Daphnia pulex: one gene and its partner. The main gene of each other region encodes a partner of the protein of the gene in region 2 in a complex. Links are inferred from orthologs where the notes say so. Each region holds a gene or a part of one and is shown on either strand. Other genes may lie near its edges.

What was found. The genes of interacting proteins can lie anywhere in the genome.
Region 1: the proteins of B-cell receptor-associated protein 31-like (region 2) and mitochondrial fission 1 protein-like are in contact, whole or in part, in a crystal structure (PDB 8XWX), measured with the Homo sapiens proteins. The link is inferred for Daphnia pulex from reciprocal best matches to the Homo sapiens genes BCAP31 and FIS1. Residues at the interface, in NP_001132913.1 of Homo sapiens: Asp224, Leu227, Glu228, Ala231, Lys232, Ala235; in NP_057152.2 of Homo sapiens: Arg52, Val56, Glu59, Glu60, Pro63, Lys64, Lys89.

The regions. Positions count from the first base shown.
Region 1 is NC_060026.1:16,281,594-16,286,024, forward strand, and holds mitochondrial fission 1 protein-like, read left to right. Parts: upstream 1-1,905; 5' UTR 1,906-2,008; coding exon 2,009-2,053; intron 2,054-2,113; coding exon 2,114-2,323; intron 2,324-2,454; coding exon 2,455-2,560; intron 2,561-2,637; coding exon 2,638-2,726; 3' UTR 2,727-2,959; downstream 2,960-4,431. Other genes in the region: ras-related and estrogen-regulated growth inhibitor-like protein, read left to right, coding at 416-608, 683-831, 898-1,086, 1,152-1,670; protein O-mannosyl-transferase TMTC4-like, read left to right, coding at 3,244-3,445, 3,514-3,745, 3,815-4,431. UniProt on the Homo sapiens protein: Involved in the fragmentation of the mitochondrial network and its perinuclear clustering. Plays a minor role in the recruitment and association of the fission mediator dynamin-related protein 1 (DNM1L) to the mitochondrial surface and mitochondrial fission.
Region 2 is NC_060022.1:3,342,817-3,347,622, reverse strand, and holds B-cell receptor-associated protein 31-like, read left to right. Parts: upstream 1-1,697; 5' UTR 1,698-1,969; intron 1,970-2,060; 5' UTR 2,061-2,077; coding exon 2,078-2,169; intron 2,170-2,239; coding exon 2,240-2,340; intron 2,341-2,434; coding exon 2,435-2,591; intron 2,592-2,652; coding exon 2,653-2,858; intron 2,859-2,919; coding exon 2,920-3,074; 3' UTR 3,075-3,303; downstream 3,304-4,806. Other genes in the region: ankyrin repeat domain-containing protein 34A-like, read right to left, coding at 1-107, 164-245, 326-376, 436-620, 725-848; polyadenylate-binding protein-interacting protein 1-like, read right to left, coding at 3,324-3,411, 3,473-3,683, 3,746-3,872, 3,933-4,152, 4,222-4,337, 4,398-4,506, 4,587-4,693, 4,757-4,806. UniProt on the Homo sapiens protein: Functions as a chaperone protein. Is one of the most abundant endoplasmic reticulum (ER) proteins.

The DNA of each region.
Region 1 (4,431 bases), on a different chromosome or scaffold from region 2:
TATTGGTCGGTAAACATGGTGGTCCCTATCTATAGGAAAATGCCAAATTGTTGTATGTGTATGTATAACAGACACGAACTTGTAGAGTTTCGGCCTTGTGTGATGAGCCGAGAATCTGATCCCAAACATAACCGAATTCGATCGCTGAAAAAACCTTGAACAATTTTTCCCCCACACACGCAAATGTCGGGTACTTGGAAGTTCAGTCGATTGAATTCAGGTCTCGGATGATTTTGTTTGTTTCCTCCTTGTGAATCGATTTAGGGTTATGTAAAATAAAATCAGGGCAAATACGATTATCGTGCATTTCCCGTCAATTGCGTTGCGGGTTGGTTGCTGGATGATATCAACAGTTGACGGCTGATGCTGTGCGCATGTCCAGGCCAGTCTTATAAAAGGGAGGCTGCATCCAGAGATGACGATCAAACCCAATCACGACTTTGCCCAGTTCTCCAACATCACGCGCCAATTTTATTTCATATCGAAAATGAAGGAATCGTTGGGCAACAAATCAGCGACGACGACCAACAACAAAACCAACAACACTGGAAATAACAACAACCGATTGTGTGTCACCGTTCTAGGATCTACCGCCGTTGGCAAAACAGGTTTGTTAATTTTGAATTTTTATTTGGCGCTAATAAGTGGCGTGAATTAATTTATGCAAAATTTGATTAAACAGCGTTGACAGTTCAGTACCTGACGAGTCGATTCATCGGCGATTATTTCTCCGGGACCGACATGACTTATCACCACTCTTTCGCTTACATGGGAGGATCGCTGAAAACCAACGTCGACATTCTCGACATTTCACGGCCATCCCGCAATGACGTAAGTCGTCATCACGGCTCACATTTTCAATTTGAAAAGCTAATTGATTTTGGGTTATAATTAAAGGTGATTGGTGAAGATGAGGAAATGTTATCGTCAGTAGTCGGCACAGAAAAGTGCATGGCTTACCTGGTCGTCTATTCGCTGACCAATTCCAAAAGTTTCGATCGAGCTCGTGAAATCCTGTCCAGGTTACCTTTCCATTCGCCGAAATATTTGGTGGCCAACCAACTCGACCTCCAACACAGACGACAGGTATGTCGAATTTTTTTCCTATTCCAGGGATTTACATTTAATTTAATTTATTGAAATTTGTTCAGGTGTCGCGACTGGAAGGTCAAACCGCAGCCGATGAATTCGGTTGTCCATTTGACGAATTCTCAGCGGCCGAGCCGCAGTACGAAGGCCAACAGTGGGGAGTGAAAATTGTTTTCCAAAAGTTGATTCGCCAATTGATTTCCAATTCGCACGTTCTTCCATATCCGCGGATGATCCGCTTTTCGTCCTTTTCGAAAATGATTGGCGCCATCGTCTCCAAGACGCGCCACCACTCGGCCAATTCCAACAACAAATCGCAGCACCAACAGCAAAAGAATTTCGCCAACCAGCACAACCGCAAATCCTCCATGTCTTCGTGCAGCGACAGGAGCAGCAACTCGAGTGGCAACAACAGCACCGGAAGTGTCGATTCCATCGCCACACTCACGCCCGACATGAGTCTGTTGCACATCAACAGCGCCCATTTGATTCACGGAGTGAAATCTAAACCCATTCCCATCGTCCACCGAAAGCTTTTGACCAGCTCCAACTATCCGTCAAGTCAAATCGCCTCCATATGAATTATATATATCGATTTTATTATCATCATCAACATTTCTTATGACTGGCACAACCAAAATATCATGCAAAATGTACAGCTACAATATATGTATTTTGATACAAATTATTTATATCTATAAACTTTGAATACAAATTTTTTGAAAAGTTAATTACTGTTTTATTCTTTAAATTGTAGTAAGGTCGTATCCGTTGATCAAAACTGTTTTGCATTTTCAAACATTTTTGAAAATCCCGCCTATTCCGTCTGCTGGAAATCAGCTGATATTCCGACTGACTACGTTTTTCAGCTTGTTGTCATCAGTGTATTGCTCAATATTTGATTGGTAATAATAGCAAAATGGAGGACGTTCTAGACGAAAGTATTTCTGAAGAGGATTTGAAGGTACGTGTAACTCTGTAACAATTGTCATTTTCAATTTATAATGTTTGGACTCTTTGGCAGAAATTCGAGCGACGTTATCACGACAGTTTGACCCAGGGAACAGTAACTCAAGACATCCAGTTCAATTATTCCTGGGCATTGATCAGGAGTAAATATCAGGCAGATATCAAGCGAGGGATTTTTCTCTTGGAGGACTTGTCCAAAGGAGGAAATGATGAGGGCAGGAGAGACTACATCTACTACCTAGCCATTGCCAATGCCAAAATCAAGGTAATAAAAATGATCATACTTTTAGCACTTGAAGATGTCATAGTTGTCATATAAATTATCCTACACTTTGGAGAGATGACATTTTTGATCTATCCTAAAAATCGTGTTTGTTTGCTTTTGTTATTTGACAGGAGTACAGCAAAGCTTTGGGTTACACCAAAGTTCTGCTCCAAGTAGAACCAAATAATCGGCAGGTCAGAACTCTAAAAAATGTCATTGAGAAACGAATGGAAAGAGGTATGAAGTTCTTTTGTTGTGTGCACATCTTCATATTTTTAACCCTTTATTTATTTATTTTTCATAATTATTAACAGAGGGACTTAAAGGCATTGCCATCATAGGTGGAGCAGCATTGGCTTTGGGTAGTCTGATTGGACTGGGGGTAGCTCTGGCAAGGAAGTGATAGCGCTCATTAATGCCACGATACACTTCTTATTCTGTAATCCCTTTTGTCATGCAGATTTATGTTATGTGCTGAACTGCTGTGTTGAATCTGAATGTTGATATTTTCACTATCATAAAAATTTTCTTGTGGAAAACTATATTATACTTTCATTCCTTTCTTTTTGTTTTATTTTCATGAAATTCTAGTGTATCAGAAATGAAAGGTATAATGAACAATTACAGATTTACAGTACATTTAGTGTTGTTAATTGTGCGTTGGTTGCGTAAAAAACAAACACTAAAGCCGCACTAAATGCGCACAACAAAAGGTTGCCGAAACCGATTACTAGACATCTAGTAGCACACACACGATTGACACATGACATTTGACAGAAGCAGCCTTGAGGGCTCGCTACGTAGAATCAGATTCTGTGGGTAGAAAAACTTTCGGGCTTACCGTGGCTCCGGTGTAAATATGCCAATCTAACATGTTTTCATGTGTTGCAACATGTAACCTTTGCTCGAGTTAACTGCGTATGCCAACAAAATTACGTGTAGTTTTAGGGGACAACAGAGTAGGCGGCCAGACAAAGCAAAAGTATTATGATATTCCAATGGCAATGACTAAGACGGCCACGAAAGAAGTTTCCGAGAATGGCGCTGGCAAAGTAAACAGTTACAGAGATTTCACATCAACGATTCATAAACCAGCTGCTCAACAATTATTCATATGTCCAGGTATCGCCTTGATTATTTTTCAGACTCTTTAAAGTTGAAAAATGACATTTTTCCAATTCTGTAAACAGAAGTTTCTCTGAAATGGGGATGTGCAATCATCTTTATCCTGGCGTCAGTGTGCTATTTAAATTCAGTAAACGGGTCCTTTGTGTTTGACGACACAGAAGCAATAGTAAACAACGAAGATGCTAAAGGCAAGACTCCTCTCAACGAAATATTTTTCAATGACTTTTGGGGCACATCACTCAATCACAAGAGTAGTCACAAATCGTACCGACCATTGACCATTTTATCATTCAGGTATTTTCTATACGAGACATTGAATGAATCATTTCACCAATTGACCTTGTTGTTGTTGTTGTTGTGCAGGTTAAACTACATTTTCAATGGGCTGGATCCAAGGCCCTTTCACTTGACGAATGTGTTGCTCCATTCCATCTGCTGCACCCTGAGTCTGGTGATCTTCTCAACTTTGTTGGGAGAAACTCGCCCGAGGCTGTCGTTCATCACGGCCATCCTTTTCTCGGTTCATCCCGTCCACACGGAAGCCGTCAGCGGAATAGTTGGGCGAGCGGATCTCCTCTGCGGAATCTTTTATTTTCTCTCCATCTACTCGTACGCGAAACATTTGGACGGAGGATCGCTGACGTCGTTCGCCACTTCGATGGCCAGCTGCGCCATCGCCATGTTCTGCAAAGAGCAGGGAATCACAGTCCTGGGCGTGGTCGCTGTTTACGACGTCACGAGATCCGTGACTGGCACTTTCAACTTTGGCAACGTCATGAAGCGAAGGGATATCCTCCAGCGTTTCTCTTTGATCGCCGTAGTTGGAGTGGCTCTTCTTTACGTCAGATTGAGTGTCATGGGCTCTTCCGGGGCTCCGGCCTTCCAGCGGGTCGACAATCCAGCTTCCTTCGCCGATTCGCCGATGACCAGAGCTCTGAGTTATAACTACGTCTACTCGATCCACGCCTTGCTGCTCCTGT
Region 2 (4,806 bases):
GTCCGGCAAAAAATATGTGCTCTTCCAACTCAACAAATCAGCTAGTTCCTTTTTTTCGAATCCTTCTGCCAAATTTCCAGCTGTAAGACCTTTTCGATTCTTCTGACCTAAACAAGAATCATCGATTAGTGGAAGAAAAGTCAAAGAGAGCATTTTTTCTAACCGAGGTAGATCATTCGATGCACAGCACTTAGCCGCTCAAGAATAATCGTCACTATATCGGTTAAACCAAGCGATGCGGCGTGCTAATAATAGAATGTTATTGTAAATTTTAAAATAATGTTAACGTGCTTAAATGTAAAGTATCAATTTATGTAAGTTTCACCATGAGTGCACTGTTTCCATCAAAGTCTTCCATACCATGATCCAAACGTTTCTGTGATAAAACTAAACAGTAATTTGTTAAGCTGAACTTGAAACGATATGAATCTCTACCGATTCCAGCAAAATGCGAACAGTGCTCTTTTGTCGACGTAGTATAGAGTGCATTAGCGGTGTCATACCGTACCGATCACCAATGTTTGGATCTGCTCCGGCTTGTAGTAAAAGTACAATTAAGCGGTTTCTTATTGATTCGTCGTCCTTCACCTGTGTAACCGCCAGGATTAGAGGAGTACTTCCTATAGTTCCATGCAGTAAAATAAAAGTTTTGCTTTACTATTCGTTAACAGTCGTAAAATAGCGGTAAAGTGTTCAGTATTAAATTTAAAGCATTTTTCTTTACCCTCACGATGGATGTCGACGTAATCTTGATCATAACCAGCATCTAAATAGAATTTAACTTGGCGATAATGTCCACTAATAACAGCATCTAACAAATACGAAGCACGATCCGCTACTGAGTCCATAGGCGACGATAGCTGTAGGTGCCCGCTGATCGAATGTTTCCAAACGACTTCGATCGCACGGCAAAGAGCCTAGGATTTTTAAAGGAGTGGTGTAGGTACTCAGTCGACGTCGCAAAATCCCTGAATGCGCACGAGAGAATGCGTCGTGAGGAAATTCAATTGAAAGTACTCGCGCGTTACGCTTGTCCGTAGTAAACATGCAGGGAGAGAGGGGTTGTATTATTATCAATGTCAACATATTGGCCTTCATCGTCCGCAAACAGTAGCCTAATACCATTTATAGGACAGATTACATCGTTTCGTGCCGCTCGCAATAACTCAATTGGTGAATAAAAATGGCTCAACCCTGCACGATTTGAATTGGCTGCAGCAAAGTCACGTTCCAACATATGTTACGAATATCTTCTAAAGCCTATTGCAAAGTCGAATGATTATAGTAATTTCACAACTTTGATCACAATTCACTTTAAATCTCCTGTATTATATTGAAACTCGTGAAATTATTGCTATGAAATATTATTGCGAATGTAAGGTTATGATACGGCAATGAAACCGTAGCACCAATAAGAAAATTAGAAAGCGGACACGAGACCAAAAGTTTCTTTTTATTTTATTATTAGTCACAGCTTTACCACTGCGATGTGTAGGAGACATGTTTCATCAGATAAAAAGGTCGACGACACGTCGACACTCTAAAAAAAAGTGCAATACTTGTTCTTTAACACGAAATCTTATAGAAGAAAGACGTAAGAAAGAGTTGAATTTGGAGCCCAGCCAATTTTTGTTTGGTACACGTCATCGCCAATAAGAAGACTCGCCGTAATGTGGTGGCGCTGACATCGTCATAGCAAACCCCGCCTTTATTACCTATGTCTCCTAGCCTCTAGCTACTGTAATTTGTAAAGATAAGTTGGTATCAAAAGATTTTCTCTCAGTTTACACCAGACGAACACATGCGAAGGTAGTCTGCACGAGCCTGCACTGAAATTTTGTTTAACAGGAAAAGAAATCAAATCTTGTACTAGCATTCTTGCAGCAGTATCCGACGAGACATAAACGAATGACTTGCTATTTCGAACGTTGACGAAACTACATTTTTGCTGAAATTGTCTACACAAGCCGTAAGTTTATTTTGGGAATTATTGATTTGTGTAATACCTACCGTGTTCGTGTACATGGGATAACGTGAAACTATTCTGAAAACTGTTTCAGGATATAAATAGTCCACAATGAGTTTTCAGTGGGGTTTAATTGCAACTTTTCTCTACATTGAGATAGCTGTTGTTTTCCTACTCCTTCTGCCATTCATCTCTGCTCAGAGGTAAATAAAATATCATTGTGTACCCATTTCAACATTTACATCAGTTTTTTTTCTCTTTTTCCTCCCCAAGATGGAACAAACTTTTCAAGTCAAGTTTCCTCAGAGGTCTAGGTCAGCAAGTTCACATATACTTCTATGTCATCCTTGCATTCCTGGTCCTCTGCTTATTCGGTAATATAGAACACATAATTTCTCAGCCTGATATGTTATGACGAAATAATATGACATACTTCCATGGCAATGCTAAATCACATGTAATTCCTAGATGCTATTCGGGAGATGAGGAAGTATGATGTTACTCACGATGGAAAAGCAAAGGAACAACAACACCAACATTTAGAGCAAGAACTTCGAAATTCTATGGTGCTCTTTAGAGCCCAAAGGAATTTTTACATTACTGGATTCTCTCTGTTTTTGATTTTGTAAGTATTGATCATTTGAATGACCATTTACTGTTCCCAACTAACTCCGTACATTTTCTAGCGTTATTCGTCGTCTGATGACACTGCTTGCGGCTCAAGCAACTTTGGCAGCAACCAGTGAGGCCGCTATGCGCCAGGCCACTTCAGCTTCGAAGGCTGCGGAAGAGTTAATGTCCCAGAAAGACAAATCCGCTAGTGATGAAAACGTTAAAGAAGCTGAAGAAAAGATTTCCCTTTTGGAGAAAGAATTGGCTGATGCCAAGAAAGGTAAGAGTCTGTAATGTAGGGATAAATCATGGACGTTCTTATAAAGATTTTTCTTTTTCAGAGAGGTCTCAAGCCGTGAAAGACCTTGAAGCCTTTAAATCACAAAGCGAAGGTGTTGCTCGGGAATACGACCGTCTCGCCGAAGAGCACAGTAAACTTGTAAAGAAATTGGCCGTCTTAGAAGGAGAAGGTGGGTCTGACAAGAAAGATGATTAAAAATGACCTTGGTTGATCTGTTGGTTATGAAATAACATGCTTGTCCTTTTGTTTGTCACTTTGAAAATTGTGGTAATGCTCTATAATCTATCTAGCTTTTACAAACAATAAAATCCAGGCTAAAACATAGTTTGGGGAGGGGTATCAACTTTATTATTTCTCCCTACTTTGATGTATCAGCAAAAGTGACAGCAACATAATAATTACACATTCGAAATGGTCCTTAAAACATGATCGATATACTGAATTTTATTTCAAAGCGTCTTGCATCATGAGAAATTTTTCAAATGCCTCAGCCATCTCATCATCCATTCCAGTATCTTCTTCATACGCATACCTAGATAAGAAATAATATTAGGTCATAAGATGTAAAATCGTCATTTTGAAAACGCATATACTCGTATTCTTCATCCTCATCATGGCGATTGATTCCTTGGTCAAGAAACTCAGTTTCCTCAGCAGTTAGAGCTTGACCGTCAGGGCCATAATACACACCCATTTGATGGTTGGGGAGCTGACTACTTGCAGTGTGACTTTCACGAGTCACTGGGGAGCTCGGTGCCCGACCCCAGTCACTGCCTCTCAACTCAATCATGTTCAGAAGAAGATCTAACACACAAAAAAAAAAATAATTAATTTTAATTAATTGAAAGTTATGTAAAAAATGTAACCTTTCATATGCATTTGCATTTCAACTGTGCGACCGACTGTTTCAATCTTCGCCATCAGTTGGTCCATTTCGGTGGTTTTTCCTTTATTAGCCTCACGATCATCGTCTTCAAGGTAAGAGCCCGATAACTAAAGCAAAAATTTTACCAAATTTCATTTCAAACCGATTCTATTAAACGACTGTAGTACCTTCAGAATTTGACAGACGCATTTGACGTTACCAGGAGTTGGATGTTCTAGAAGAGTCAGCAATAGCTCCCGAACGGCTCTTCCTAAAACGCGGAATCTGCTGGACGCATCTTTCTGATTCATGTGCACAAAGAGTTCGCTCATAAATAAAGCAAATCCCCTCAAATACTCTGCATCGCTTTGCATCAGGTTTTTTCGATCATCATGGATTATTCGACATCTGAGATGAGAATTTTGAAAGATATGGTTCATGCATATCTCAATTCAGCATTGAATATTTTATCACCACCTGTTAAAAAGAGTAGATCGAAAATCGGGAGAAGTAGGACCGGAAATTCGTAGTCCTCGAGTAATTGAATTACAAAGCCTTGCGCCGTTATACCGGAAATTAGGTTCACGAATAGCCTTTAAACGTAAATTACCAGATTAATAATTTTAAATAATGATAAGAAAGAAAATAGTTACTAGAGCGACGATTTCATCCACTAATATCTGCAGCATACTTTCATCCAAAGCTGGCCAACTGTTCAGGTTAGAGATGAGTTGATCACACAAATGTGTGAAGTGACCAGGACTATATATATATTCATAAAAAATTTAAATTATTTTTGTTTGTATGTATTGCCTTAACGGGTGACGATTAATTGTGCTCACCTATATGTTATTTCATACAACACTTGGAAAGCATAATCTAATAATGGATCACTTCTTTCAGAATCTGCAGGAGCTAACTCTGTAGTCTGTTCATGATATTCTGTATCCTGTAGAGCAAACAGGTTGTTTTACCAACATTTAAAAAATTATGAGACCACAATTTTACATACCACATATGTTTGATAGCTCTCTGTGTAAGATGTTGTTGGAAATGTTTTTG